7 linked regions of the Oryctolagus cuniculus genome follow. The protein of the gene in region 2 interacts with the protein of the main gene of each other region in a pairwise test. Links are inferred from orthologs where the notes say so. Each region holds a gene or a part of one and is shown on either strand. Other genes may lie near its edges. The genes, in order: ADARB1, UBE2I, EXOSC9, SETX, MAPK1IP1L, RAD51 and RNF4.

What was found.
Region 1: the proteins of UBE2I (region 2) and ADARB1 interact in a two-hybrid assay, tested with the Homo sapiens proteins (2 studies listed by BioGRID and IntAct). The link is inferred for Oryctolagus cuniculus from reciprocal best matches to the Homo sapiens genes UBE2I and ADARB1.
Region 3: the proteins of UBE2I (region 2) and EXOSC9 interact in a two-hybrid assay, tested with the Homo sapiens proteins (2 studies listed by BioGRID and IntAct). The link is inferred for Oryctolagus cuniculus from reciprocal best matches to the Homo sapiens genes UBE2I and EXOSC9.
Region 4: the proteins of UBE2I (region 2) and SETX interact in binary tests that used the Homo sapiens proteins (3 or more experiments, as listed by UniProt). The link is inferred for Oryctolagus cuniculus from reciprocal best matches to the Homo sapiens genes UBE2I and SETX.
Region 5: the proteins of UBE2I (region 2) and MAPK1IP1L interact in a two-hybrid assay, tested with the Homo sapiens proteins (3 studies listed by BioGRID and IntAct). The two-hybrid records come from large-scale screens. The link is inferred for Oryctolagus cuniculus from reciprocal best matches to the Homo sapiens genes UBE2I and MAPK1IP1L.
Region 6: the proteins of UBE2I (region 2) and RAD51 interact in a two-hybrid assay, tested with the Homo sapiens proteins (3 studies listed by BioGRID). The link is inferred for Oryctolagus cuniculus from reciprocal best matches to the Homo sapiens genes UBE2I and RAD51.
Region 7: the proteins of UBE2I (region 2) and RNF4 interact in a two-hybrid assay, tested with the Homo sapiens proteins (3 studies listed by BioGRID and IntAct). The link is inferred for Oryctolagus cuniculus from reciprocal best matches to the Homo sapiens genes UBE2I and RNF4.

What each region holds. Positions count from the first base shown.
Region 1 is NC_091435.1:1,560,226-1,564,441, forward strand, and holds the start of ADARB1 (double-stranded RNA-specific editase 1), read right to left. Parts: upstream 2,912-4,216; 5' UTR 2,730-2,911; intron 1,313-2,729; exon of another isoform or gene 1,291-1,312; intron 1-1,290. UniProt on the Homo sapiens protein: Catalyzes the hydrolytic deamination of adenosine to inosine in double-stranded RNA (dsRNA) referred to as A-to-I RNA editing.
Region 2 is NC_091450.1:33,712,128-33,716,291, forward strand, and holds the start of UBE2I (SUMO-conjugating enzyme UBC9), read right to left. Parts: upstream 2,997-4,164; 5' UTR 2,731-2,996; intron 2,548-2,730; exon of another isoform or gene 2,391-2,547; intron 2,244-2,390; exon of another isoform or gene 2,091-2,243; intron 597-2,090; 5' UTR 588-596; coding exon 522-587; intron 438-521; coding exon 354-437; intron 1-353. UniProt on the Homo sapiens protein: Accepts the ubiquitin-like proteins SUMO1, SUMO2, SUMO3, SUMO4 and SUMO1P1/SUMO5 from the UBLE1A-UBLE1B E1 complex and catalyzes their covalent attachment to other proteins with the help of an E3 ligase such as RANBP2, CBX4 and ZNF451.
Region 3 is NC_091439.1:43,254,424-43,258,770, reverse strand, and holds the start of EXOSC9 (exosome complex component RRP45), read left to right. Parts: upstream 1-1,410; 5' UTR 1,411-1,525; coding exon 1,526-1,591; intron 1,592-1,914; coding exon 1,915-2,009; intron 2,010-2,633; coding exon 2,634-2,753; intron 2,754-2,890; coding exon 2,891-2,993; intron 2,994-4,347. UniProt on the Homo sapiens protein: Non-catalytic component of the RNA exosome complex which has 3'->5' exoribonuclease activity and participates in a multitude of cellular RNA processing and degradation events.
Region 4 is NC_091432.1:234,563,544-234,567,261, forward strand, and holds part of SETX (probable helicase senataxin), read right to left. Parts: intron 3,544-3,718; coding exon 3,445-3,543; intron 1,559-3,444; coding exon 1,471-1,558; intron 1-1,470. UniProt on the Homo sapiens protein: Probable RNA/DNA helicase involved in diverse aspects of RNA metabolism and genomic integrity.
Region 5 is NC_091443.1:21,422,480-21,426,197, forward strand, and holds part of MAPK1IP1L (MAPK-interacting and spindle-stabilizing protein-like), read right to left. Parts: intron 2,827-3,718; 5' UTR 2,823-2,826; coding exon 2,805-2,822; intron 1,800-2,804; coding exon 1,101-1,799; intron 110-1,100; coding exon 98-109; 3' UTR 1-97.
Region 6 is NC_091443.1:63,837,723-63,842,129, forward strand, and holds the start of RAD51 (DNA repair protein RAD51 homolog 1), read left to right. Parts: upstream 1-1,542; 5' UTR 1,543-1,804; intron 1,805-4,407.
Region 7 is NC_091433.1:1,253,854-1,258,048, reverse strand, and holds the start of RNF4 (E3 ubiquitin-protein ligase RNF4), read right to left. Parts: upstream 2,892-4,195; 5' UTR 2,732-2,891; intron 1-2,731. UniProt on the Homo sapiens protein: E3 ubiquitin-protein ligase which binds polysumoylated chains covalently attached to proteins and mediates 'Lys-6'-, 'Lys-11'-, 'Lys-48'- and 'Lys-63'-linked polyubiquitination of those substrates and their subsequent targeting to the proteasome for degradation.

The sequences.
Region 1 (4,216 bases), on a different chromosome or scaffold from region 2:
ATTTCCACCCTGTCCAATAACCGAAATGCACATTTTAGCTCTGACTGCGGCAGTGGGGTCCTGTGTGCAGGGCCAGGTCCCCAGGGATCCGAGAACATTCTCCCGAGGAGGGCTCTGGGCGAGGTCAGTCCCTGCACTAGTCCAGGCCTAGGGACATCCCAGGCCTGCGGCCACTCTCCACCCTCCCTAAGGCCTTGGCCATCAGGAACTCGGCCACGCTGACCGGCAACCCCCACTGGCTTCAGAACTGAACCTACGGCAAAACGTGCCCCCAACTAAGTCCTGTGCCGGCTGCAAGAGGAGCCTGATAAATGCTTTCTGGGGTGGATTGGGAGAGAGAGACAGAGTGAGACAGAGAGAAAATGAGCGTAGCACAGCACGTTTTAGAAAGTTACAAAGAAAATCAGCACGTTTTCCATTAAAATTCTGTCTCCTGGCCAGTGCTGTGGCACAGTGCATCACGCTGCCGCCTGCAACGCCGGCATCCCCTGTCACCCCTATCAAAGCGCTGGTTCAAGTCCTGGCTGTTCCACTTCCAATCCAGCTCCCTGCTAATGTGCCTGGGAGGGCAGCAGGAGACGGCCTGAGTGCCTGGGTCCTGCCATCCACGTGGGAGACCCAGGTGGAACCAGCCTGGCCCAGCCTCGACCATCTGGGAAGTAAACAACTGGATGGAAGACCTCGCTCTATTACACTGTCTTTCAAATAAAAGAATAAACCTTTTTAAAAAGCCAGATATCAGCTTTAAGTTTGATCATAAGCTTGATCGTTTTGCTTAAGTTTTTTGTAGGCTGGTAAGTGGATAACTTCATCTATTAATCTCTTAAATGTACTTTCTAACCACCACCTAATTAAATAACACACTTTGTTCCTGTGTGCTTACAGAGTTAATCACAGCATTCAAGGGAATAAACCCAGTGCTTTAATACATCTTACAGTGAAGGAATTTTGATAATTAACACAAAACAATCAGTAGGTCTTGCTTGCAGTCACGAATAAGAATCGCCACTGTAGCACTGTCTGTCAGAGGAAATATTAAAAACCGCATTACAACTGCCGGCAGGGACTAGGGCAGGGACAACCCACGACCATCGCAGCAGCAGGGGCAGGCAGGCGAGGGGCTGCGGCTGGGAGCGAGGAGTTCACACCTCCCGGGGCACACACTGGCACTTTTACATCCATAAATAAAACCGTGCAATTTCACAACTAAAATTATAAATTTTATTTTTAGGACGTAACGCTACGTGAGTGACTAACAAACTGCCAGCAGCATCTCTCAGCGCTGCCCACCTTGTCCGGCACCGGGAGAGCCTGCTGCCCGGCAGGCCACGGTCAGCATGTGGGAGATGAATTAGGAGCGCTTCAGTCATGCACCAGACAGGCCTCAAGTCCGAAGAACTCTCTTACTGCAAACATCTGCAAGCAACGCTTTATGACCCGTAAACAGGCAAAGGCTGAGGGCCCCGGGAGTGAGCGCCCAACGCCCCGGGGGCCCGTCCGCTACCACTGCCCCCGCAGAAAGGCCTCCTCCTTCCCTGCCAACCTGACCTGGACGTGGCTGAACAGCCCCAGCTCGGGAACCGACGGGCACGGCCCACAGACAGCGGGCCCCTCTCAAAGCCTCTGCGCCCAGCCCGGCCGTCTCATCCCATATTTATCAAGCGCCTGCGGTGGGTCCCGCACCCTCCCAGGCACCGCAGCAGCCACCTCTGCCTCTCTCCTCCTCGCCCCAGAAAACCCTGGGCAGGCAAAGGGGCCGGGCGGTCTCTCCCCAGGGGAAAGGCAGTCATCAGAGGACCTTCCCAGGGCCCGGCCGGCTCCCGGGACCACCCGGCGGGCCGCACCTTTCAAAGAAATGAAAGGTTCGGGCGAAGGTGGGAGAGAACAAAGAGGACCAAGTGCAAACCTGGTTCTCCACCGCTCCGCACCGCAGGCGGAGTGCAGCAGCAGGTGCCACAGCAGGACCCTCTCAGACACTCGGGGCGCAGGCACAGCGCCCCGGGCTTCGCGGCGACCACAATGCCTTCATCAGAAGCAGCAGCCAACCCTGCTGGCTAAAAATGCTAACTGCGAACCCAGCACCCGGCGCAAACCCCGGGCAGCCCGCGGCCGGGACTCCGCACCGCCCACCCACCCACCACGCGGCCATCCTCCTACCCGACCCCGCAGCTGCCAGCGCCGCGGGAACTTCCCCGCCCCGGGCTGCCCGCGGCGCAGAGCCTCCCGCCGGACGCCCCCCGAACGCAGGGTGCAGCCCCACGCCGGGTGCACGCCCCCTGCCCCGCGGCGCGGAGCTTCCCACGCGGACACGGTGCCCTCAGGAGGGGACGCGCCGCCCGTCCAGGACGCAGCCTCCCCGTGTCGGGGCGCAGCGTCTCCACCGCGGGCGCAGCCCGCCCACCCTGGGGCGCAGCCTCCCCACCTTGGGGCGCACCCTCTCCATCTCGGGCCGCAGCCTCCCGCCCTCCCGGGACGCAGGCTCCTCAGCCCCGGCGCAGCGACCCCAGCCCCGGGCGCAGCCTGCACTCCCGGGCGCCGGGACCCGCCCGCAGCCCCGCGGCCCCGCAGCCCCGTGCACAGCGCCGGGCCGGCGCGCGGCGTCCGCCCCGAGCGAGCGCCGTCGGCCTCCGCACCTGTCCTCCCGGCTTACATAAACGGGGCCCGGGTGCCCGCCGCGCCCGCCGCCCCCGGCGCCGTGCCCGGCCAGCCCGCCCGCCCTCCCGCCTCACCTCGCGCGGCCTGCTCGGGACGCCCGACGCCGCAGCTGCGACCCGGCCCGGCCCCGAGCGCTGCGGCACGGCGCGCCGGTGGCTCGCGCCGCCAGAGCCCGGCCGCCGACCTGGCCGCTCGGCCGCCGCCGCCGCCGCCGCCGCCGCCGCCGCCGCCACGGCCCCTCAGCCGCCTCAGCGCCAACGCTGGCCGCGGCTCCGCCCTCGCCACCGCCCCCGCGCGGGCGGGCGGGCGCGCGCGCGCCGTGGGCGGGGCCGGCGCCGTGACGCCGACGTGCGCGCCACCGCCGGTCGCCGTGGTGAGGGCTGCGGCTGCGGGCGCTCCGGCAGTGCCCGTGCGCCGGCGCTGCGTGGGGGTCCGAGGGGCCGGCGGGCAGGTGTCGTGCCGCGGCCTGCGGGGCGACCCCGGGGTTGGAGGAGGCCCGCGCGGCCCCTGAGTTAGGTCTGCTCGCGTCAGGTGCCAGGGCCCCCGGGCCTGGAGCACGTGCCCGGGGCGGGGCGCGGGGCAGCACCTGGGCGCACCTGCACTGCAGGCCCGCAATGGAGCGAGGCGGCTGTGAGTGCGGGGCGCGTCCCGGGACCCCGTTGAATGGCGGCTGGCTGCGCGGGGTTGCCTTAGCTCGACAGTCAGGCGCTGTGCGCAGTGAGCGCCCTCCCCGGCTTGCTGGCGAGCCGCGGCGAGGCCCCGGCTCCAGTTCAGGCTGCAGGGACCCTAGGGGGGCACCGACCCCGTCCCCGCTTGTTAACCAGGGGCAAAGGGCGAGCGCTCAGTCCAGCCTGGTACCAGGCCCCCGGCTGCCGGCCTTACCCAGGGTCTTGTTTCAGAGTGGCCTCCAGGGAGGTCAGCGGTCTGCAGCCCCCGGGCAGTGCTGCCAGGGCCCTTGTCTGCTTCAGCCACTGGCGAAAAGGGGAAAAACAAAAACAAAAGGCTGTCTTTGGGGCCAGCCGGGTGAAGGAAGCACTCACCTTGCCAGGGAGTGGCGAGAGGGGCCTGGTGACTGCTGAGTCAGCGTCGGGACTGCAGGGCTGCCTCCTAGGGATTCGTCCGTGGAGGACAAGCACGTGTGCAGGGATTTTGTGTCTGTGGCCGTGGCACAGCTGTTCAATCGCTGTGACCCCGTGGGCAGCAGCTTGGGCAGGTCAGGCTGGGCCAGGCCCTGCTTCTGGGCCATACTGCAAGAGGGTCAGGCCGTCCGGCCCCTCAGCAGCACAGCAAACATGAACCCCTGCTTCCGGCCCCTGCTGATGTCTCCGCGGCTCTCCTTGGCTAAGGTGCATGGGACGCCCCGGCCAGGCTGCGCGTGAGTCGCTCTGCATGGGCAAACGGCTGTGAGATTCGTGGGTGCGTCCCCACCACACCCGTGCACGGCCTTAGTGGGTTTGGGTTTGACTGGGGGAAACCGGCAGCATTTAGTCAAGTTGTTACCGGTGAATGGCAGGGTTCTTGTCTTCACACGATAAAGAATTCAGGCATGAGACAGAGTAGT
Region 2 (4,164 bases):
AGGCAGCCACGCCAGGCTGAGCCCACGCTGCAGAGTAAACCCTGGGGCCGGCGGCTCCCGACCAGGAGGCCACCGTGACGCATCGGGAGGGGCGAGGAGAGCTGGGCCACGTGGTCAACCCCCATCCCGCGTGGGGAACTGGGTTCGAGTCCCAGCCTCCTGCCAACGCAGACCCTGGCAGGCAGACGGCCCCCGCCCCCCGCATGGCCCTGCCAGTCTCTCCAGCCAGGGGTGGGGCTTTGGAGCTGAGGCCACTGCCAGGTCAGGGACCGCGAGACATAAAGCTCCCTCTCGGAGCAGCCACCAGCCACCAGCGCGGGGTCCTGCCGCCGCCCCCCGCCCCGGCCGCTTACCCCCTTCTTGCCGGGGATGGCGCACTCCCAGTTCATGAGGTTCATCGTGCCGTCGGGGTTCTTGGTTGGGACAGCCACGAAGCCCTGCGTGGACAAGCAGGGGAGTCCCCGGGCGCTCAGGCCGCCCCGCCCCGCCCGCCCCCGCCCCCGCCCGCGGGCTCTGCTTACAAACGGGTGGTCCTTCCTCCAGGCCTTCCTCTCCTGGGCAAGTCTGCTGAGGGCGATGCCCGACATGTTCCAGTCCTGGGGACACGGGCGCCGTGAGGGCCCCACTCCCACGAGCCCGAGTCACGCCAGGCTGGGAGGGCCCCACACCTCAGGCCGCGGGCGCACGGCGCTGCTGAGGGGGGCAGCCCAGCGCCGCTGCCCCAGCCTGGCCTCCCCCACGCAGGGCGCCTGCGCCCCGGACCCGAGGGCCAGCGCCCTGACCAGGGCCGGCCACAGCGGCCCTCAAGGTCCAGGACCACAGCCCAGGGCCCAGGCCGCCGCGCCTGGACTCCACCAGCTGCTGTCTGCCCCGTCCTCGGAACCCACGGGTGTCGCCCTCCAAGTCCCTGGCTACAGAGCCACTCCACGGCTCACCTGGCACTGGTTAGAGGGGGAGGCTCTGCCCGGGGCGGGCGGCATCCCAGAACCCAGCAGGCGAGAGCCCAGGAGAGCCAGACCTCCACAGACGATCGGACGAGGACCACGGTCCTCGGGCTCCTGAGTGCCGGCGCCTCCGGCCGTCGCACACCGCGCACGGCTGCAGGCTGAGCCCACGGCTGCTCCACTTCCCAGCCGGCTCCCTGCGGGGGGACGCCCAGGGCCTTGGGCCCCTGCACCCGCGTGGGAGACCAGAAGAGGCTCCCGGCTTCCACACGGCCCAGCCCCAGCCGACGGGGCCGTCTGGGCGAGCCAACCAGCGGCTGCGCGACCTCTAACTCTGCCTTGACAATAAATAAACCTTTAAAGAGGCGAAGCCGCCGCCAGGCTGCCACGCCTTCCCGCACCTGGCGCCCCAGCCCGGGCCCCTTCCGGGAACAGGCGTGGCGGCCCGGTCCCAGCACACCTGCCTGTGGCTCACCACAGCCTCCACCTGCACGGGCAGCGCGCGAGCCAGCCCCGGGCGCCCTGGGGTCCCCGGAAGCAGGCAGCACAGCACGGGGCAGGGGCCGGCAGGGGCCTGGGGGCCGCGGGGAGCCCGACGTCGGTCCCCAAGGCTCCTGTGCGCCTCTCACACCCTCCCCGCTGCAACCCGCCCTCCCGAGCCAGCGCATCAGAACTGCACCCCTGCCCGTGCTGGGCCCGAAAGAGCTCCGCCCACAGAGACCCCCGCGGCGGGCGGCGCTGCCCGTCCGGGCCGAGCCACAGGTGCGCACCTGCTCGGCGCCGGGCGCCCGGCCTCAGTCTCAGCACGCAGCCGCGCTGGACAGGTGGGCTGCCGCGGCCCGCACCGGCCGCCTCCGTGGCCCTTCTCGGCCCTCCCGCACCCGCGGACGGGCCCTCTGGGGCATGCACCCCACGCCTCCCTCGGCTGCGCCCGACCCCCGTCCCGGGACCCCCGCGCCCCGCCAGACAAAGGCACAGCGGCGGGCTTGGCCAGCGGCCTTGCGGGAGAGGGCCGGGGCGCCGCGCGGGGCAGGCGGCCCACACAGGCCCCGGGAGGCGGACGGAGGGCCGGGCGCGCTCCGGGCCCCGAAGACGCGCGACCCCCGCGGCGGGGCAGGGGGCTGGGGGCCGCGGCCACGGCCTCACCTTGGCCGGCACGGAGCCGCCCGCCGCCCGTGGCGAGCGGGGCGCTCTCGGCCGCGCAGGAAAACTTCCCTCGGCGGCGGCGGAGCCCCCCGCGCGCCCGCTGGTCCGCAACCGGCCGCTCCCGGCGCCCTCCCGGGCGGCCCCGCGAGCCCCGCGGCCCGAGGAAGGCGCGGCCCGGGCGGCCGCCGTGACCCCGAGGCCGCGCGCCGCCCGGAAGGCCGCGGCGCCCGCCTCGCGCCCCGCGCGGGCCGCCGACGGCCCGGCCCGAGCCCGCGAGGCCCCCCGCCCGGCCCCGCTCACCTCGGGCGGCCGCGGCCCGGCGAGCGTCACGGACGAGCGGGGGCCGAGCGGCGGCGGCGGCGCTTCCCTTTGTCTCGGGACTTCCCTCCGGAGCCCGCTCCGCGCGCAGCCCCGAGCGCCGAGGACCCCGGCGCGGGCGGGGCGGCGGGGCGGGGCCTGGCCCGGGGCTGCCCGCCGCACGCCTGCGCCGCGCGCCGCCGCCGCCGCGCCGCGCCGCGCGCCGCCCGCGGCCCCGCGCGCTCCTCGCCGCCCGCGCCCCGCCGCCGCGCGCCCGCGTCCCGCGTCCCGTCGGGGAGCCCGGCCCGGGGGCGACTTTCCAGTCAGGCGGCGCCCTGGACACCTGTGCTCTTAAAGGAGCCGCGTCCTCGAAGTGAGGGAGCGTCTGCAAACTCTCCTTCGGGGCGGGCGGGCGCACTCGAGGATACGCCGGCGAGCAGCCGGGGAAGGGGCGCGCCGCGTTCCTCAAGGGCTCCCCGGATGCCCGGCGGGCGCGTCTCAGCGCGTAGGTTCCGGAGGTCTCCTTGGGGCCGGGGCCCGGGGCCGGGGGGCAAAGACCACTGAGGCCTACGGATGCCCGAAACGGCGCAGGACGGCGACAATCCCCTGAGTCTGGCGTCCTGTGAAACCCCCTGCAATTGGCCAATGCAGGGGCCTGGGCGGGGCATCGTCCAGATCCGCCCAATCAGCTGACGCCGTACGGAAGGCCGGACGCTCGCCAGACCGACGGGAGGAGAAGCGCCGACGCTCCCTAGCCCGGGGCCGTCCCGCCTGGGGGAGGGGCGCGCCGGGATTCCCGCGCGCGGTCTCGTCCCACGAGCGCGAGCGCGCGGTTCGCGGGTCCGCGCCGTCCCGCGCGGGCACGGCGGGGTCGCCCCTGGGGCTAGGGCGCCGTCCGAGCCGTCGGCGCGGTGGGCGCCCGGGGCCAGGCGATGGGGTCGGCCGCAGAGGGCCTGGAAGGCACTCATTCACGCCCTCCTCCAGGCTCCGCCGTCCGCAGCCTTCGCAGCTCTGGTTTGCCGGGACACGGAACGTGGCTGACAGGCCTGGCGGCAGCGGCGGAGACCCCCGAGGGGGCAGAGACGCCCCTCATTCCCCGCGCCCCTAGGTCCCGGTCCCAGCTTCCCCGCGGTCTGCGCTGGGCTGTGTGGCCGTGGAGAAGCCGCTGGACCGCGGCCCTGGGGTCCCAATGGGCAGGGGTGGGGGGCAGGGCCTAGGTCTGCAGGTGGGGGGGGTAGGGCCCAGGTCTGTGGGGAGGGGGAGCTGGGGGGCCCAGGTCTGCAGGTGGGAGGGGGTCAGCTCAGGGGTCCCGGATCCGCGGTCCTCCACACGGGGACACCTGGGGCAGGGAACCCACCTCAGATGGGCCAGGTTCAAAGGACACACTGAGGCTGGGGGGGGGGGGTGAGGGCCCCGGCCCCGCCTTGGGGGGCAGCCCTCCACAGATCACCCACAAATCCGGGCTGGGGGGCTGGTCAGAAATCCACACCTGAGCAAAACCCAGAACTCCCGAGAACAGGTGCGTCCCGACCCCGTGCCGGGGGCGGAGCCGGGGTCTGGGCCCACCCTCGGGGGGGGGGGGAGTGTGCGTCCCAGGACAGCCGGCGACCGCGGGCCCACCCCGCCTCGCACTCCCGCCCAGGGAGGAGCGCGCAGAGAGGCTGTGTCCCGGGGGGAGCGGAGGCCGGGCCCTCCTCCCCGTGGCCGCCCTTGGACGCCCTTCGCTGCCCACCGCCTGGTGACCGCGGGCAGCGCTGTCCCTGCCCCAGAGCCGCGC
Region 3 (4,347 bases), on a different chromosome or scaffold from region 2:
CCGCTAGGTGGAGGATTAGCCTAGTGAGCTAGCCAGCCAGCCAGATTCCCATTCTCAGCACTGATAGGGGTCTGAAATTGTTCTATTTAGTTAAGTTTTTGTCTCTTCTAAAGAAACAAATTTCTTGAAAGAAAGGATCTTGTCTACCCCCCCCCCTTTTTTTAAACCTAGCCCTGGAGTTATTCTTGGGACACAGTAAACCGTCTTTAAATATTGAGTACCTAGGTTAGACAGCAAGAGGTAGAAACTAAAATCTAATCTCACTAAAACAAAGTGTGAGAAGAGATAAAAGAGAGGAATCGATTTTATGTAGGAGTTGTGATGCTTACCACATGCAAAGCAAAGGGAAACAAAATACAAAGCAAATAGTGCTTAGCCAAGCACTGCTCTAAGCATTTTATGTGTCCTAATTAGGTTTTATTCCTCATAATAACTTATCATCCCTATTTTGCAACTGAGTACTGTGAATCATCTAGGCTAAATAACTTGTCCAGGATCACAGACCTAGTGGATGGCACAATGTGAATACGAATCTGGGCAGTTTCGAGTTCCTGTTTTTGTTTTTAAAACCTCTATTAGCTCTATTTATTTGAAAGGCAGAGCAACAGAGTGGGGGTGGGGGAGAGAAAGAAAGAAAACGAGATAATGAGAATCTTCGCTGGCTGGTTCACTCCCTTGTCCACAGAAGCTGGAGCTGGGTCAGGTGGAAGCCAGGATCCCGGAACTCCATCCGGGTCTTCCCTGTGAGTGGCAGCAGCCCCAGTACTGAGCTATCTTCCACCGCTTTCATAGGAGGAAGCTACTGCTATTTGACAATCTTTCTCTCCAAAAAAGCTGAGCGCTTGGCAGCACAGCCACAACAAGGCTTCTGTCTGCCCCTAACAATAAGCCTATGGACAGTGTAGTTTCAGCCCACGGCGATAACACAACGCAGGAACGACCTCGAATCTTGTCAGCTTCTTAGATCTGTTTCACCTCAGCCAGCAGGAACGTCCCAGCTCACCGCCGCGACTGTCTTCTCCCAATCCCGCTTGTCTCTTTTGCGCCCTGTGTCCAGTGTTTTTCCACGGTACCTGCTCCAAACCCTCCTCTGGAGCTTTCTAGTGGCCAAGCATCAACGCCTTCATCAGTGAAACAGCAGTAACACCCCTGCAGCCTCGCCCGCGCCGGGACTGAGGAACGGCAGAGTGTGAGAGTGGTCTACTCATGCTATTGTCTGTCAACCACGTGGCTATCGTGTGCGTCTTTTAAGCCCCTGGCACTTTACCTTAAAGGAACCTTCCGACTTTAAGGTCGGAAACACCCGTCTCTAAGCCGCCTCTGCAGCTCCAGTGCCCCTCGGAAGAACCCAGCCAGGCTTGGAGTTTGCGCACTAGCGACGGCTCAAGCCCCCAGCTTTCCCACCCGCAGCCGTCGCGCCCTGATGACGCAAATCTCCTTCGCCGCAGAGCGAGCGGAGCGCGGGTCTAGAGTCTTCGCGTTTCCTCACGGATTTTGGTGCCCGTGGGGCCCGTGAGCTTACACCATGAAGGAAACGCCACTCTCAAACTGCGAGCGCCGCTTCCTACTCCGTGCCATTGAAGAGAAGAAGGTAAACGGCCCCCCCGCGAAACTGCGCGCCGCGCGGGCGCTCAGCTCACACGGGGTGAACTCGCAGACTTTACCAGCGTGGGCCGCAGGAGGCCCTGGGGAACCAGCCGGAATGTTCCCCCAGCCTCTCAGGCGATATGTCACCCCAACGGGTTCTTTTCGAGGCGTGAGTCGTCCCAGCAACTTCCAGTGCTTGGGCATCTAGCTTCCGCTCTCCTAGCGGGATGGGGTGGTTAAGATCCCACTTTGCTCCAGGGCGGACGCATAGTAATTGCTCAAGAAATACTTGTTGAAGGAATAAGAGAATGAATGTTGTGCTTACAGCGGCTGGATGGCAGACAGACCTACGATTATAGGAACATAAGGATCTCGTTTGGGACAGATTATGGGTGCTGTATTGTGGAACTTGGGAAAACAAGGTAAGAGAGTTCAGATTAGACGACAGATTCAACAAGGAGTGGTTAGCACAGAAGTCGGGACAGTACTTTGTGGTCATGCCTTAAGTTTTTAATCCTGAACATCTTTTCTTCATGAGTATCTGATCTCTACAAATCATGTAGGTGACCAGCAGTGGTTACTTTGTATTTGTTTCCTGAACTCCTTTCACCGTAGAGAGTGAGGGATGTAGAGATTGCGAGCATTTTGGCACTAATAGGTCCCACATTCCTCTTTTTCCTGAGTGACGTGAAAACTAGGTTTTTAATATTCACTTGAAACTTTTGAGGCTATTTGGTCAGATAATGTTGCTAAACCATGCCATGTGAAAACCCTTAAGAATTCTAGTTTCCATGACATTTTGTATTGATAAATACTCGTTTCAGGAAGAAGTAAAGGTCATTGATTTCCTTCTAAGTCTGTGAAATAGTAAATTTTGTTATAAGAGTGTATCCTTTATCTCTGCATATATTCCATATGTAATTTCTGCTTCAGAATATATCGTTCTGAGTATAGCATTACGTAGAGTAAGACAATGTTGTCTAAGATTTTTTTTAATTGGAAAGGAAATATATTTAGCAAACTGCTTTGTGCCTTTATCTTTACAGAGTTCTTGGACAGGTTTCCTGTGAACTTGTTGCTCCAAAACTCAATAGAGCAACAGAAGGTATTCTTTTTTGTAACCTTGAGCTCTCTCAGATGGCTGCCCCGGCTTTTGAACCTGGCAGGTACTTAAATCTTTTTCTTAAGCTTTCACCATAGGAGAATCTAATAACAGTAAGCTATTGTTTTAGTGCCTTATGAATATAATGTATAATGTAATGGTATTATATTTCATGACATCAACCCATTCCTGTTTTCTTAGGCAGTCCGATCTTTTGGTGAAGTTGAATCGACTCTTGGAAAGATGTCTAAGAAATTCGAAGTGTATGGATACTGAGTCTCTCTGTGTTGTTGCTGGTGAAAAGGTGGGGAAATATACCTAAGATTCTTTTTCTGGTAAAGCTTTATTTACTTAAAAGTCAGAATGAGAGAGAGCTTCCATCTGCTCATTTGCTCCCCAAATGGCCACAATGGCCATATACCCAAAATTATTAATCTTAGGGTGAATATTGTTGATTTATTGGTCTCTATTACTATGATTTTCAGAACTTAGTTGATTAGATTTATACTGGTTCACTTTCTGAGTACTATTCTTGGAACTTTGTACCATCCCTGTTGTTTTTTTTAAAGGGTGAAGAATAGCAACTTGGATATATGTTGAACCATTTAATTTAAAGAACTTGTGACTCTTTCATATCATCTCTCTTTTATTTTCTCACGTTAAGTCTATTGATAATGTTTTCCTTTTCAATGGGACGAACAACTTATAAACAAACCCAAATCCTTCATGTGGGTAGGTTATTGATATACACAGTGTCAGTGGTATGGCTGACATTGGAAATCTTTGTCTCCATAAATTGTGCTGTATGAGGATAATACAACTGTGATTTTTTAAAAAAAATTATTTGAAGGGCAGAGTTTACAGGGCTGAGGGAGAGACAAGAGAAATCTTCCATCTACTGGTTCACTCTGCAAATAGCCGCAGTGGTCAGAGCTGAGCCAGGAGCCAGAAGCTTCTTCTAGATCTCCCACGTGGCTACAGGGGCCCAAGGACTTGGACCATCTTCTGCTGCTTTCCTAGGCACATTAGGAGGGAGCTGGATCAGAAGTAGAGCAGCCAAGATTTGAACCAGTGCCCTTATGGGATGCTGGTGGTGCAGGCAGCAGCTTTACCTACTATACCGCAGTGCTGGCCCCAGAATTTGAAGTTTTTAAGTTAGCAGGTAAAATAGAAATATACTCAGGTTTAGAGTTAGGAAAATATTAAATTTAGATGGTAGAGTGGTTTTGTTTAGGATATTCATATTGTTGCTAAGTGACTCAAATAGTAAAGTAAACTGTTGGTATTAAAGGTTTTTTTTTAAAGATTTATTTATTTATTTGAAAGTCAAAGTTACACAGAAAGAGGAGAGGCAGAGAGAGAGAGAGAGAGAAGTCTTCCATTTGCTGGTTCACTCCCCAATGGGCCACAATGGCCAGAGCTGCACCGATCTGAAGCCAGGAGCTAGGAGTTTCTTCTGGGTCTCCCACAAGGGTGCAGGGGCCCAAGGACTTTGCCATCCTTTACTGTTCTCCCAGGCCATAGAAGAGAGCTGGATTGGAAGTGGAGCAACTGGGACTCAAACCGGTTCCTATATGGGATGTGGGCACTGGAGGCAGTGGCTTTACTCGCTATGCCACAGCGCCAGCCCCAAAAATGTTTCTTTAACGTAAAATTTT
Region 4 (3,718 bases), on a different chromosome or scaffold from region 2:
ATTCTAACACGTGAGGACTCTCTTGGAGCCGGCGCTGTGGCATAGCGGGGAGACGCCGCCTGCAGTGCTGGCATCCCATCCGGGCGATGTCAAGACCCAGCTACTTCTGACCCAGCTCTGTGCTGTGGCCTGGGAGAGCAGTGGGAGATGCCCCAGTGCTTGGGCCCTGCGCCCGCGTGGGAGACCCGGAAGAAGCTCCCGGCTCCTGGCTCAGGATTGCTGCCGCTCTGGCCATTGTGGCCATCTGGGGAGTGAACCAGCGGATGGGAGACCTCTCTCTCTGTCTCTACATCTCTCTCTCTCTCTCTGTGCCTCCCTGTAGCTCTGCCTTTCAAATAAATACATAAATCTTTTAAAAAAAGTTAAGTAAAAGAACGAAAGAACAGGCTGGGACGCCGGATGGCGAGTGTGAGGGAGGCAGCTGGCTTCTCGTCACGGCACCGCCCTCCTCCAGCCGCGGGCAGTGGAGAGCGGCCCAGGACGGGGTGTCAGCCGTCTCCACACCAGCTCCCTGCGCCCCCTCGGGCTGTCCTGCCGCCTCACGCTCCCCCCTGCTTGCTCTCAGGCTGCACCACCAGGCACGCGACTCCTGCTGTGTGTGGAGACCCTGCCAGCAAGACCCAAGGGACCAACCTGCAGGGACGCTTTACTCTGCAAACGTAAGCGTCACCACCAATCTCTCTCGCGCTTTGCTCAACTGTGCACACAACTGTGGCACGCGAGCCCGCCTGCAAGAAACCGGATTTTCTCAACACTCAGCTCCAATGGCCACAGGAAAAATAACTTCTAAAAAATATTTTGACACAACTACAAATTTACAGGAAGTTACGCACCCTTTATAGTTTTCTCGAAGCTATGAAACAACTGCCCGTTTCCGCACCCATCTGCGCAGAGCACACGGTGAGACGGCAGAAGGGCCCCAGCCACAGCACAGACCACCCACGGACCCCGCCCCGAACAGGAGTGGAGACAATCTCAGAGACAGGAAGAGGCAGAACTGCCATCTTTCTGTCCTTCTGCTGCAGCTAAGGGCGACAACAGTCTAAAATCCATCTGTAGTGGCATTTAAACTTACGGTGACATTTTCTTGATAACTTAAAAACAGAAGTACATAAAACAAAGGCTACAGCGCTTGGACCCAGAGCAGGCACAGGGCTCCGGTGCAGGCGAGAACGTGTATTGAGCGCCCTCTGCTGGCACTAACCACCGTGGGGACGGCAGTGAGCGAGGGTTAGGCGCTCAGAGCCACTGGAGCCCTGCGCGCTGAGGGGGAGCCCCGAGCACAGCCGCACTGGGCGCCCCAAGCGAGCCAACGAGCGCCCGTCCCTCCCACGCCCCCGGGTGGTCAGCCACGCCCACTGACGCGCCCTCTCGCTCCTGTGCCCACTGACGCGCCCTCTCGCTCCGGTGCGGGGGACACAGGAAGCAGGGCACACTCTGGCGCCGCTGTGGTCCCGAGCATGTACCTACCATAAGGGTCCTCAGATGTCCAAGGATGAAGAGGCTGTACTTGGCTCGCGTAATGGTGACGTTCATTCTCTGCAAACTGGCCAGGAACCTAAGCAACGAGAGAGAGCCTCTTCTTGGTCTAGAACGGCTGAGGCAGGCGGGCGGTACTTCACACGGCTTCTCCAGCGCTCCCGCCACTGCCTTAGAAAGCACGGGGAACCCTGGCGCAGGAGCGACTCCCACCGAAGGCAGAACAGACCAAGCAGGGCGCCGTGTCTGCTTCCTATTTTGCCTGTGATACGATGCTAGAAATTTTTTTTTCTAAAATATGTCCTCATTTTATTGGACAGGCAGAGTTACAAAGAGAGGGAGAGGTAGAGGTAGAGACAGATCCTCCATCTGTTGGTTCACTCTCCAAACGGCTGCAACGGCCGGGGCCAGGCGAGGCCAAAGCCAGGAACCTGAACACCCTTCAAGCCTCGGGCTTGGGTGCAGGCCCAAGGACGTGGGCCATCCTTCCACAGCTTTCTCAGGCCATCGGCAGGGTGCTGGATCGGAGGCGGACAGCCAGGTGCTGGCACTGCAGACGGGCTTGACCCACTGCCGGCCCCAGAAATTCTACTTGAACAGTAGGACTTTAGGTTTTAGAAATAACCCCAGGGGCAGGCAATCAGCCGAGTGGTTAAGATCCTGCATCACAGCATCGGAGCACCTGGACTGGACACCCGGCTCCAGCTCCTGCTCACGAGGGCCCCAGGAGGCAGCAGCACGGCGGAGGGACTGCTTCTGCCGCCCACGCGGGAGACCTGGATTGAGCCCAGTTCCGGCTTGGCCACTCGGACCCCAGCCCAGGGCGGATGCGGCAGGCAGCAGGGGACTCCATTGGCAGATGACAGCCTGTTCTCTATCAGTCTCTGTCTCACTGTCCCTCAAAAACCTTCTCTAAGAGTACACAAGCTCATGTACTCATGAACGTAAACGCGTGTTCGTGTTGTTAGAACACTGCGAACTAGCACAGAAACAGACACACTTTCAGGAAATGGTCCTGTGGGAACCGGGCTCCGCACGGCAGGCGGCCCATCCCATCCCAGCGGAGCGGAGAGCACTTACGTTTTATTTTCTGAAGGAATAGTCAAACAGGTTGACCACCTGTACATCCTACCTGCCTTGCATGAGTGAGAACACCACCACACAGACTCCTAGAGACTAAAGGCGTTCCTGCCATCCCTGGGAGTGTCCTCAGCAAGTTAAGTGACAGCAGCTAAAGAGAACAAACCCAGGCAAAGCAGGAAAGACACCACCTCAGGACACACGCCATGAAGAGTAACATACCCATGGGGCTGGTGCTGTGGCACACGGGTAAAACCCCAGCCTCCAGTGCCGGCATCCCATATGGGCGCTGGTTCTAGTCCCGGTTGCTCCACTTCCTATCCAGCTCTCTGCTGTGGCCTAGGAAAGCAGTGGAAGATGGCCCAAGTGCTTGGGCCCCTGCACCCGCGTGGGAGACCTAGAAGAAGCTGCTGGCTCCTGGCTTCAGATCAGCTCAGCTCTGGCCTTTGCAGTCATTTGGGGAGTGAACTGGCGGAATGGATGACTTCTCTCTCTCTGGCTCTACCTCTCTCTGTAACTCTTTCAAAGTAAACAAAACAAATCTTTAAAAAAAAAAAAAAAAAAAAAAAAGAGTAGCATACCCCTGCAAAATATGCGTCACCCAATTATTTATTTCACTTATGAAAAAACTATGGATTTAAAAATATTTTTCAGCAAAATAAACATCTCCTAATTTCATTCACTCTTCCATGAACTTTGCCAAGTCCTCTCCTATGGCAGACAGCAGGGAAAGCAGAATTAACAGGTCTCCAAGTCAGACATCCTCATGCTGCTACACAAGATCTCACCAGAAAACAAAGCGAACGACGGTGTTCTGCAGCAGGATCGGCAATGATCTAGTCCTGGATGATAAACAAGTGAACAAAGCAGTGACAGGTCACTCACCCAATTGAGCCTTGCAAGGCATTTGCTCTGACACACGTGACAATGACACAGTCCTTCTGCCGGCCCTGGAACGCATCCACAGTATCTACTTCCGCCGGTCTAAACACCCAAGAGAAACACACTTACCCAAGTACAAAAGTCACTCAATGCACATGTTAGTTTAATAGTGTTTGAGAAATATTTTTCATGGTACTTTTGCCATTAGTCCCCGTTTCACCCTCACCCCAGGCTGTGAGAATCACTAACCACTCTGCTGTCTGTCTCTGAGACTTTT
Region 5 (3,718 bases), on a different chromosome or scaffold from region 2:
CCCTCTAACAGTGAAACCAGCAAATGTCATATATGCATTCATGTGCACATACATGTACTTCAAAAAGCAAAGCGTCATCTCTTCATCCACTGTTAACTTAATGGTACGACTGCAATAAAAAAAAGAAAAAGTCAACTTCTAGATTTTATAAATGGAGTTTATTAACTCCTTGCTGTGGCTTTAAATAAATTTAATGCTTAATAAATTCAAACAGCAAGACATCTCACTTAGTTATTTTGGCAAAGACTTTGCAAAGAAAATATTTTAGAGAATATATATAGCAAGTAGTTACACTACTGAAAGGAAGTAGTTTTGGGGGGCATTTTAATAAGAGTTTTTTGCCTTTAGAGCTGAGGTGCATGTCTAATTAATCTAGCTGGAGATGCGATTAGTTATTTGTGGGTTACCAGATCTTTTTTGTCTAAGTAGAGTCTTGAGGTTGCCTCTGGGTCCTCAGTTTACCTCAGGAGCAAAGTGGGGTGCTTTTATATTCAATCAAATGCCCAAGACAAGCTCCCAAACCGAGATGTGAACCCTAGTTCAGCCTGACTGAGGTAAAGCACAAAGTATCACACATGATACGCCAGAGAACAGTGCTATAGTCTTGAGCCCGGTGCAGCTAAGAATTTAACAAAGCTTTGGCTGAGAAACACCACGGAAAACTGCTTGAAAAGCTGGCAACATAACATACTTAATTACCTTGGATGCTCTAAAGTCTACCTCAGTACTAAGCCAGAAAGGCAGAAATTGCTTTTATTTAACTGTTGGTAAAACTACATTAAGATGCTATAAAACATCAAGAAATGTAAGTATCTCGGAGTTTACCTCAAGGATGCTGGCGAGGGAACCACCTACTACATTACAAAGTGTTTGGGATCTTTGGGAAATTTTTGTTCCTATTTTTAGTACTAGGAATACTTAGCTGTGCTTTCCACCTTTTAAATGCTTTACCTGAAGTTGTGGAACTAATTTTATACACACACATCCTTTTAAAAATTCTTACAAGCTTTCTAATCTTTCACCCAAAACTGGGGAAAACAAAATCTATTAGTTGTGTATACAACGATCAGTGCATGTTAAGTAACAAATCAAATACTCACATGGGGGCCACCCGGCATCGGTGGAGCACCAGCAGGTCCTGAAGGCACTTGGAAAGGATTACTGGGGGAAGGATAGAGTCCTGGTGCAGGATACGACCCTGCAGGGGCAGGATATGGTGCTGGCGGTCCCCAGGCTCCTGGTGGAACAGTGCCCCAGGGAACAGGGGGTGCCGCCCCTGGTGCTTGGGGAGGAGGAGCGGGATATGGCCCTGGAGATGGGTATGGCATATTAGGGGTAGGATACTGCCCTCCCATCCCAGGTGCCCAAGGTCCAGAAGACATGGATCCCCATGGACCTAAGGGGCCAGCTGTGGCTGGATCTGTGGGTGCACCATATGGTCTGGGTAGCTCTGGAAAGGGCATATTTGGTGTAGGATATGGCCCTGTGGGCCCAGGGCCTGGCACAGCTGGGGCTGGGTAAGGACCACCAGGTGGGGGGCACGATGGTCCAGAGGGAGGAAAGGGGGCGGGGGGTCCTGGAGGCGGTCCAGTGGGAGGCACGGAGGGGTACATTCCCGTTGGCGCTGGTCCAAAAGGCACGGTAGAGGGGGCTGCACTTGGCGGGAGTCCAGATGGCACTGAAGGTGGAGCGCTTGGGTTATTCCAAGGGTTGGAACCTGGCCAGCCTTGTGCTTGGGCAGGCTTTGTATTGCTCACAGAGGTCTTGGCAGGGGAGTGTTCAGGTAGTGCATCTGCCAACTGAAATACAAAACAGACAGGTCTTATCTGCCTTATTCAGGGACAAGTCACACCAACACAATACAAATACCCAGAGAGAACAATAAACTCAGGGATTAGAAACCTCAATAGCATCTTCAGAAGCTAAGCTATTCACTTAAAAAGCAATTCTTTTGATACAAAACTTGAGGTATTACCATGAATATCAACTTTATAGTGAAAATTCCTCAGAAAAGTTCAAATCTTCTAAATACAACTAAACATGCTGTGTTGCATTTCTGTCATGTGTTAGTAGAACAAATAAATTTTATAAAACAATTGAATTTAGGGTCAAGATCTATATTTCAATCTTGGTTTTATCCCAAACAAACCAAATACGCTCTCTGAGCTTCAATTTTTTTTGTTTTAAAGTTTCAAAGGGCCAGTGAAGCAAATTACAATATCAGAGTGCCAGTTGGAGTCCCAACTGCTCTGCTTCTGATCCAGTTCCCTGCTAATGTGCCTGGGAAAGCAGCAAATGATGACCCAAGAGCCTGGGCCCTTGCTATCCATGTGGGAGACCCAGATGCAGTTCCAGGCTCCTTTGGTCTGGCCCAGCCCTGACTGTTGCGAACATTTGAGGAGCAAACCAGCAGATGTCAAAACCTCTCTCTCTCTCTCTGCCCCTCACTCTGTAACTCTTTCAAATATTTAAATAAATATATTTTTAAAAGTCTCAAGTAAATAACCTGCACTTAACTTAGTGCCTGCTATAATTTCAATAAATGTTGCATATTATTAATATTATGATAAATAAGAGCAATAGAAGCAATACCTTAAAATTTTTCTTTTAAGGATTCATAAACAAATAAATACCAAGATATTTTCAACTATGTATTATCAAAGTAAACTGACGCAAATTACCTATCAATATCATATGACAAAAACAAATCCAAGAATCACAAAAAGCATCTCTTTTAAATGGCTCATAGGACTATACTGTTTTCTTAAGAACAAAACTTATCAAGGATAAATGTGCCAACTTACCGAAAACTCATCAGACATTTTCCTAAAGAAAAAAAAAAAAGAAAGAAACTTTCAAAATTACTGTTTATCACTTCTTATGTATTTTTCAAGCACTTTTCTATGCATACATTATGCATAGATAAGGAATATTCTATGAATACATATAAATGATGGAATCTTCATCATTTATGTATTTTCATTTACACAGGAAAATTTCCCATAACAGTTCATTACAGCACCATCAACTTCATCCCCTTTAATGGCTGAACATCACACAAAAACAATCCATAATTTAGTTTACAGATACTCTGACAGCTGAGGCTGCTTAAAGAATGATACAAGGAACATCTCTGAACACTCACATCTGCTGTGCCACCAGGAAAAAGCACCGGAAGTCGAATTTAGAGTCAAAAAGTTAAATTTAGCTAAAATCCATCTGAAAAGTCTGTCAATTTATACTGTCACCTTTTTCTCTAACTCCTCTTTCACCATTGGATATTACTATATTTATAAATCACCTTAAATTATCATTAAAAAATTGGTGTATTGGGATCAACATAGTGGTACAGCAGGTTAAGCCATCACCTGCTATGTGGGCATCCTATATGAGCAGCTGCTTCAGGTCACGGTTGCTCCACTTCCAACCCAGCTCCCCACTTGTACGCCTGGCAAAGCAGTGGAAAATGTCCAAGTCCTTAGGCCCCTGTACTCATGTGGGGACTCAAACAAAGTTTCGGGCTCCTGGTTTAGGCCTGGCCCAGCCCCTGTCGTTGTGGTCATTGGGGAGTAAACCAACAGATAGAGGATCTCCTCTCTGTCACTCTGCTTCTCAAAGAAATCAATCATTTTTTTAAAAATGGCATCTTGTTTCAACTTTCATTTCTTTAAGTGGAAGTTAGAACATCTTTTAAAACGAATAGCCCAAGGCTATCATT
Region 6 (4,407 bases), on a different chromosome or scaffold from region 2:
ACTGTGGTTTTGTAGACTTTTTGAGCTGAAAGAGTATGAACAAGGGGTTGGGCGAAAGTGGGTAGTTTTTGTATGGAAAATAGTTTACTGTAATCCTAGGCCCTATCTAAGTTAATCACTAAATTACTAAAGATTTTTCCTAGGTCTAGAATGGCTCTTGAATCTGTTCTCTGTCGATGCCCTAACTTAAGCCTTCAACTCTGGCCTGAAATGTTGCACAAGCTTCTGAATGGATTTTTGCTGTCTCTGCTCCTTCTTGAAATTGTTTTTTAATGCCACGAGATGATGGCAAGAGGATGGTGTGAGCTGTTAACTTTAAAGCACTCAACAAACAGAAAATAGTAGTAGTAGGGGGGAAAGTAAATCTAACCTATGACTCATCTTAAAACTGAATTATTTGGGGGTCAGTGTTCTGACACAGCAGCTAAAAGCGGATGCTTGGGATGCCAGCATCAGAGTGCTTGGGATGAAGTTCTTCCTCTGTTCCCCTCCTCTTCTCAGATTTGTTTTATTCATTTGAAAGGCATAGTTACACAGAGACAGATAGATCTTTCATTTGCTGGTTCGCAGCATAAATGGCGTTAAGGTTAGGAGCTGGGCCAGGCTGAAGCCAGGTGCCAGGAGCTTCATCTCCACAACCTGCTAATGAACCTGGGAGGTAGCAAATGATGGTCCAATTATGTGGGTTCCTGTCACCCTCGTGGGAGACCCTGATGAGTTCGTGGCTCCTGGCTTTGGCCTGGCCCAGCCCAAAGAAAGTGAACCAGCGGATGGAAGAACCCCTTCTCTCTGACTTTAAAAGAAATACTTCGTTATTTCCCAAAGTAAAGACCAAAGCTCCTTACACCTCTTAGCTTGAACTAAATGTAACTTTCCTGGTCTCCATTCTTCCTCATCAGACAACATTATTCCTTGAACAAAGTTTATCCGCAAGCCCACACTGCACTGTTTTTATGTCTTCCACCGCTTGCTTCTTCACCCAAAAACTCTACCCAGCTTTCAAAATCGGAATCACAGGACGAACGTCCTGGTAAACCGTAAGGTTTGCCTTCTCAAATTCTGCGCCTCCTTCCTCTGGGGTCCTGCCAATCTCCAGTAAGTCACTGCAGATGACAGACACGGAGACATTTCTTTCTCCCCTCTGCTAGCTCCATTTTCATCCATCTGCCACAGATTCCTCAACTCCACCCCTGTCGGGGGCCTGGAAAGCGCTCGGCTCCAGGGTACAGCTCCCAGAAGAACCAAAAGCCCACATTCAAAGAACTACAGACACAACCAACAGGTCTCCCGGAAGTCAGAGCGCCCACCGGCGCCTCCCGGGAGATACAGCCCCGGCCCCACCACTCCAGCTCCTGGGAGTTGTGGTCCTCCATCTCGTGAAGACAAGAAGGTGGCGATTTAGAAAGTTTTGATTAGTCCTTGCGTTTAAGGGAGGTGGGAAACTCATAACACCACGCGGTGCCAAGCTCCTCAGCCCTTTCCCTACGGCCCCGAGCTCGGGCGGCCGGCGGAGCGCGAGGGGCGGGGCGGCGCGACGCCGACGCGTGCGTGACGCCGCCCTGAGGGTTTTGGCGGGACTTCCGAAAGCCGCCCCGCAGGACCAGCTGTGTTGACCGGGTCTTGAGGGGAGCTGAAACCTTCCGCTGGTCACGGGGTTGGATTTGAAACTCGCCGAGGTTGTGCGCAGAGGGCCGGAGCAAGGCGTGGACAAGTGGGTCTCGGGTCGGGGCCGAGGCCCTCCGGGGGTCGAGCGTGCGCCGGATCAGCGGACAGAAGCCCGAGCGAGCAACGCTGTTAGGCCCAGGTGAGTGTAAGTCGTCGGCCTGGCCTGTTTCCACGGCCGCGGCTCCTCCTCTCGTTGACCGGGCGCAGACAGGGGCCTGTGCTCCCTCGGCCGGCTTTTGGGATCTGCTGGTGAAAAAACGGAAGATGGCGGAGCCGGGGCGTGCCTGCGCCCAACGGACTTGGGGCTCGTTGTGGAGAGTCCCAGCGGCCGCCTGTCCTGAGCAGTGTAGTCACAGCTGTTTCACGCCGCCTGCATTTCCGTGTTCTGCTCCGTCTGTCCATGACACCATTTTCTGCTTACAAAGTACCAACCTTAAGTTGCCAGAAAGATATTTTCATGCTTTAGATGGAAAAGCATTCATATGGTGCCTAGGAAATTTTCCGAAGTGGGATTTGGCACGCAGAAAGCCTTCTAAAGTGGACTGAAACACAATATAGAAACGCGCACGTCCCAAGCGTATACAGCGATTATTGCAAAATGAATACACCTGTGTAATCATGCATGTCAAACAGAATGCTGTCAGCACCCCAGCAGCCTCTCTTCTGCCCCCTTGTCGCTTATTTTCTCTCTTCTGTTAACCGTGTATACCATTAACGAATACCGGCTGTTTTTGAATTTTGTATGAATGCACCAGAAGTTTTGAGAGTTTACTTTTTCCACATACTTGCCAACACTTGATCTTCGTCATTCTTTTTATTTTTAGGTATTCTAGTAAATAGTAATATTTCATTGTGGCTTAAATTTTAACTTTCCTGATATTGATGAGGTTAGGCATTTGTTCATATGTTTCTTGACCATTTGGACGTCTTGTGAAGTGGCTATTCAATTTCTACCTATTTTTCTACTGATTATCTTTTTCCTCCTGGTTTGAAGGCATTCTTTATATTCTGATTAACAGCCATCAGTTTTATATGGTAAATATTTTCTTTATTTGACTTCTCATTCTCTTAATGGTATCTTGAGGGATAGAAGTTCTGAGTGTAAGTGTAGCCCAGTTTTTCAGTCTTTTCCTTTTTGGTTATCACACTAGGTATCCAGTTGAAGAATTCTTTCTCTTTCCCATGGTTTTTGTTTTTTTTTTTTTTTTTTTTTTTTTTGACAGGCAGAGTGGACAGTGAGAGAGAGAGACAGAAAGGTCTTCCTTTGCCGTTGGTTCACCCTCCAATAGCCGCCGCGGCCGGCGCGCTGCAGCCGGCGCACCGCGCTGATCCGATGGCAGGAGCCAGGAGCCAGGTGCTTTTCCTGGTCTCCCATGGGGTGCAGGGCCCAAGCACCTGGGCCATCCTCCACTGCACTCCCTGGCCACAGCAGAGGGCTGGCCTGGAAGAGGGGCAACCGGGACAGAATCCGGCGCCCCGACCGGGACTAGAACCCGGTGTGCCGGCGCCGCTAGGCGGAGGATTAGCCTAGTGAGCCGCGGCGCCGGCCTTTCCCATGGTTTTATATATATATGTGTGTGTGTATATATATATATATATATTTTTTTTTTTTTGGACAGGCAGAGTGGACAGTGAGAGAGAGAGACAGAGAGAAAGGTCTTCCTTTGCCGTTGGTTCAGCCTCCAATGGCTGCTGTGCTGCGGCCAGCGCACCGCGCTGATCCGAAGGCAGGAGCCAGGTGCTTCTCCTGGTCTGGTTATGATTGTTTTTACCTCTTAAATTTAAATCTGTAATCTAAATTGGAAATTGACTTTTTTTTCTGTGATATGAGAGGGATCAAGTCCATTTTATTCTGCAAGACTACCCAGTCGGCCCAGTACTATTTACTGAGATGACCATCCTTCCCCATTGCTCTGCAGTGAATCTATTTTCATAAATTAGACAGTGGAGGTTTTTCTGTTGCATTCAGCTGATTCTGATACATGGCATTCTTATCAACTCAGTATGCTAAATCTGCTGCTAAGAGATCTGTACTTGAGCCAGACCAGATGGTCATCCAGCATTGTCTGTCAAGCCTCCAAGTGTGGAATTCATCTTTTTTTTTTTTTTTTTTGGTAGAATATACTTATTTATTTGAAAGGCAGAGAGAGAGAGAAGGATCCTCTATCTAGTGGTTCACTCCCCTAAATGGCTGCTACAGCCAGGTCTGAGCCAGGTTGAAGCAAGGAGCCAGGAACTCTATCTTGGTGTTCCATTTGTGTGGCAGGGGGCACAAGCACTTGGGTTGTCTTCCACTGCCTTCTCAAGCACATTAGCAGGTAGCCGAATCAGGAGACAAGATTGACCCTAATATGGGATGCAGGTGTTCGGAAGCGGGTGTTGAACCTGCTGCTCTGTAACATGCCCTGGAATTCCTATCTGTCAGACTGTCCTCAGATGAGAGAGGGTACCTCAGAAAGTTCATGGGAAGTGGAATTTAAAATAAGGAGTTTATTTTGTTGCAAATCAACTTTGAAATCCATGCATAGTTGTTTACATATACACATTTTGTATGTATTAAGGAAGAATTCTTTCAAGTTTTATTTATTTATTTAAAAGGTAGATCAACAGAGAGAGGGTGAGAGAGCTTCAATCTAATGGTTCACTCCCAGATTGCCACAACAGCCACATCTGAGTCAGGCAGAAGCCAGGAGCCAGGAACTCCATCCAAGGGTAGCAGGGCCCCGTGTTTGGGCCATCTTC
Region 7 (4,195 bases), on a different chromosome or scaffold from region 2:
CTCTCTGGTTCCTGCGTGTGTCTCCAGTCTGTGCCATCTCTCTGGATCCTGCGTGTGTCTCCAGTCTGTCTCATCTCTCTGGATCCTGCGTGTGCCTCCAGTCTGTGCCATCTCTCTGGATCCTGCGTGTGTCTCCAGTCTGTGCCATCTCTCTGGATCCTGCGTGTGTCTCCAGTCTGTCCCATCTCTCTGGATCCTGCACGTGTCTCCAGTCTGTCTCATCTCTCTGGATCCTGCGTGTGCCTCCAGTCTGTGCCATCTCTCTGGATCCTGCGTGTGTCTCCAGTCTGTGCCATCTCTCTGGATCCTGCGTGTGCCTCCAGTCTGTCTCATCTCTCTGGATCCTGCATGTGTCTCCAGTCTGTCTCATCTCTCTGGATCCTGCGTGTGCCTCCAGTCTGTGCCATCTCTCTGGATCCTGCGTGTGTCTCCAGTCTGTCCCATCTCTCTGGATCCTGCACGTGTCTCCAGTCTGTCTCATCTCTCTGGATCCTGCGTGTGCCTCCAGTCTGTGCCATCTCTCTGGATCCTGCGTGTGTCTCCAGTCTGTGCCATCTCTCTGGATCCTGCGTGTGCCTCCAGTCTGTCTCATCTCTCTGGATCCTGCATGTGTCTCCAGTCTGTCTCATCTCTCTGGATCCTGCGTGTGTCTCCAGTCTGTGCCATCTCTCTGGATCCTGCGTGTGTCTCCAGTCTGTGCCATCTCTCTGGATCCTGCGTGTGTCTCCAGTCTGTCTCATCTCTCTGGATCCTGCGTGTGCCTCCAGTCTGTCTCATCTCTCTGGATCCTGCGTGTGTCTCCAGTCTGTCTCATCTCTCTGGATCCTGCGTGTGTCTCCAGTCTGTCTCATCTCTCTGGATCCTGCGTGTGTCTCCAGTCTGTCCCATCTCTCGGGATCCTGCGTGTGTCTCCAGTCTGTCCCATCTCTTGCCACACTTCCTGCACAGTCTGTACTTCAGTGTCAGGGACTTTCTGGGTCTCTCAGCCCTTAGCTCCAGGAGAGGCACCACATTCCTATTTTGTTCACTGTTGTAATCCACTACTGTTTGCTTCAAAACTGTGCTCAGAATATTAAAGTGTGTCTTCTGAAAGAGGGTGAAAAATCCTACTTATTTTATGTATTAAGAACAGATACATGGGGGCCAGCGCTGTAGCGTAGCAGGTAAAGCCGCAGCCTGCAGTGCAGGCATCCCATACGGCCACCGGTTTGAGTCCTGGCTGCTCTACTCCCCATGCAGCTCTCTGCTGTGGCCTGGGAAAGCAGTAGAGGATGGCCCAAGTGCTTGGGCCCTGCACCCGTGTGGGAGACCCGGAAGAAGCTCCTGGCTCCTGGCTTTGGAACAGTGCAGCTCCGGCCGTTGTAGCCATCTGGGGAGTGAACCAGCAGATGGAAGACCTCTATCTCTCTACCTCTCCTCTCTCTCTGTAATTCTACCAAGTGAATAAATAAATCTTTAAAAAAAAAAAAGAACAGATATATGTACAGTACACAAAGGACATACCATAGGAGCCAGCACTCTGGTGTAGCAGTTTCAGCCTCCCAAATGGAAGCCACTGGAATCCCAGCTGCTGCACTTCCAATCCCAAGCCCTGCTAATGCGCCCGGGAAGCAGATGGCCCCAGTGCTTGGGCCCTGGGCCGCCTTGGGAGACTCAGATAAAGCTCCTGGCTTCCACCCAGCCCAGCCCTGGTTACGGCGGCCATTTGGGGAGTGAACCAACAGATGAAGATCTGTCTCTCCCTTTCTCTACAGATGTTCACAGAATAAAAACCAGACACACAGTATGCCCATATACGCGGCCCTAACGTCATGGCGGCGAGCAGTCGGGACCCTCTTAAGCGTCATTAGTGAGGTTCCGGGTCAGGACTGGAAGGTCAAGTTCAAGCAACACAACGACCCCAAACTCACAAGCAAAACCGACCCAGAGCAAAAAAATCCCCTTCAACGCCGCCGCCTCCCACGGCCACACGGCCCGCACTCCGGGTCCCGCAGCTAGAACTCGGCTCCACCGTGCGACCGCGGGCCGCCCGCCTCACCCCCCAGGACCCCGGCACGGCTGCGCAGGCCGAGACCCCGAGCGTCCGCGGGCGCCGCAGGAAGACAAAAGCTGCATCCCGCAGGCGCGGCTCGCCCAGGCTCGGCCCTCCCCGCCCGAGGTGGACGCTGGTGGGCGCCCGGGGGTCCGCCGCGGGCTCCTACACGGGCCTCCGGGGCGGCGGCCACACGCTGCACCCGGAAGCGCGGGCTCCCCGGTTCCAGGCCCCGCGCCCAGCCGAGCCGAGCAGCGCGCCCGCCACGCGGCCAGGCGTTCCGGCGAGCTCGCGGGCCCCCGACGGCGGGCGGCGGCGCCAGCACAAAGGAGGACACGAGCCTTCACTGCCTCCCCGCCGCCGGCAGGCCCGGGCGCCTCTCCCGTGACCTTGGGCGCCCCGGCCCGAGCCTCAGTTTCCCTCTCGGAGTTCCGAGCCCGGTCGTGCGGCCGCGCCGGGGGAGCCCCCTAGACCTCCTCTCCCGCGCCCAGCGAGGCTCGGGACGCCGGCGCAGGCGGCGGGGCGGGTGGGCAGAGGCGGCCCGAAGTCCCGGCAGGCCCGGCCGGCCACGGGGCCCGCAGCGGGTCGCGCCGCGCTGGGCGGCCGCCGGAGGCGCGGACGCCGAGGCCTGGACAGGCCGCGCGAACGCGGCGTCTGCTGGGCCCGGCCGCCGCTCCCTCCCCGAGGAGCGGGCCTTACTCGGAGCTGCTCCGGTCCGGGAGGCACCGCCGCCACTGTCCTGGAGCGAGGAAGCACCTCTAAGCCGCTGAGGAGAAGCCCCCGAGCCAGGCGCCGCCGCCTCCACAGCAGTCCACTTCCGCTCCCGAGGCCCAGGCCCCGCCCCCCGCGCGTCCCCAGTGGCCGCCGCCTCCCCTTCGCCCGCGGCTGCCGGGGAAGGAGCCCTGTTTCCAATTCTATTGGATAAGGAAGACGTCCATTACCACTTTGAACCGCGTCGCTTCCGGCCCCGCCCACGCTCGCGCGCCTCAGCCCCCGCATTCCCGCGAGAGAGCTTGTCCGCGCCGCGCCGCCTGCAAGGCCTGTCGGGAGTTGTAGTCTGAGGGTGGTCCGAGCGCTTGGCCCGCGGCAGCTGCCCGCCGACCCCCGGTGACCCGCTCTCCGGAGCCGAGGGGGCTCCGAACGGTCCCGGTCCTGCGCTGCCACCCCGCACAGCAGCCACCATGGCGCTAACTTACGAGGCCGGCCGGCGACGTCAAGCTGGACGTTGGTCCAGACCAGACGTTGCGCCCAGCTCCCCGGGCCTGTTTCCTTGCCTGTTAACGAGACCTTGGAGAGGAATATTCCCGGGGCACGAGCTGGAAGCCGGGCCTGGATCAGCGCCGCCTGGTACCAGGCCCTGGACGGGGCGGGGCGGTCACCGTCCCCGCGAGGACCGGGCCCAGTCCCCACTGGCGAGCCCAGAGGGGCCCTAAACCGGCTTGTCTGGGAGGGCTGTCCAGAGGAAGCGAGCTTGGGGCCAAGAGCCGGAGTACCGGGCGGAAGAAGCAGAGAGTTGGGCAGGAAGCAGGGAGCTGGGTGTCCCGCAGCCTGGGGAGGGGAGTCAGGGTGTCAGGGGCCGGGTGGGCAGGAGGGGTGGGCGAGGGCCCGCAGGGAAGGCACCCCAGGACCGGCCTGGAGAAAGGTGTCCTCCCAGCCCCGGGCGCGGGCGGAGCCCTGGATGCCTCCTGCGGGCATCTGAGCCCCCGGGTCTCAGCCTGCCCTCACCTGTGATCCCCACACCGCCCTGGCAGGTGTGAGCCCCGCGGAGCTCCAGGCCCTGCGCTGGAGCCGGGCCTGTGATGCTGAGGCTGGCTGGACCCCTGAGTCCCAGCCCCGGCTCTTCCTTCCTAAACTTCGCTCTGAGTTGAGGCAGTGGGCACTTATCTCCCCTGCAGATAGCATCTGGACCCTAGGTCTGGCCTTGAGGGATTTTCTTTCCAGGAACTACTATGAGGGGTGGACAGGCAGGTGGGAGGTTAGGTCAGTACCCACAGGCATTTTGTCAAGGCTACACAGAATTATCATCCCTGCCTTCTGACTAGCTGTCACGCTGTTCCTCCACCTCTGGTTAGGTCTAGGTCTGGTTTTCAGAAAGGGGCCAGAGAGCCTTCATTTAAAAGGCAGTCATGGGGCCAGTGCTGTGGTGTAGCGGGTAAAGCCACC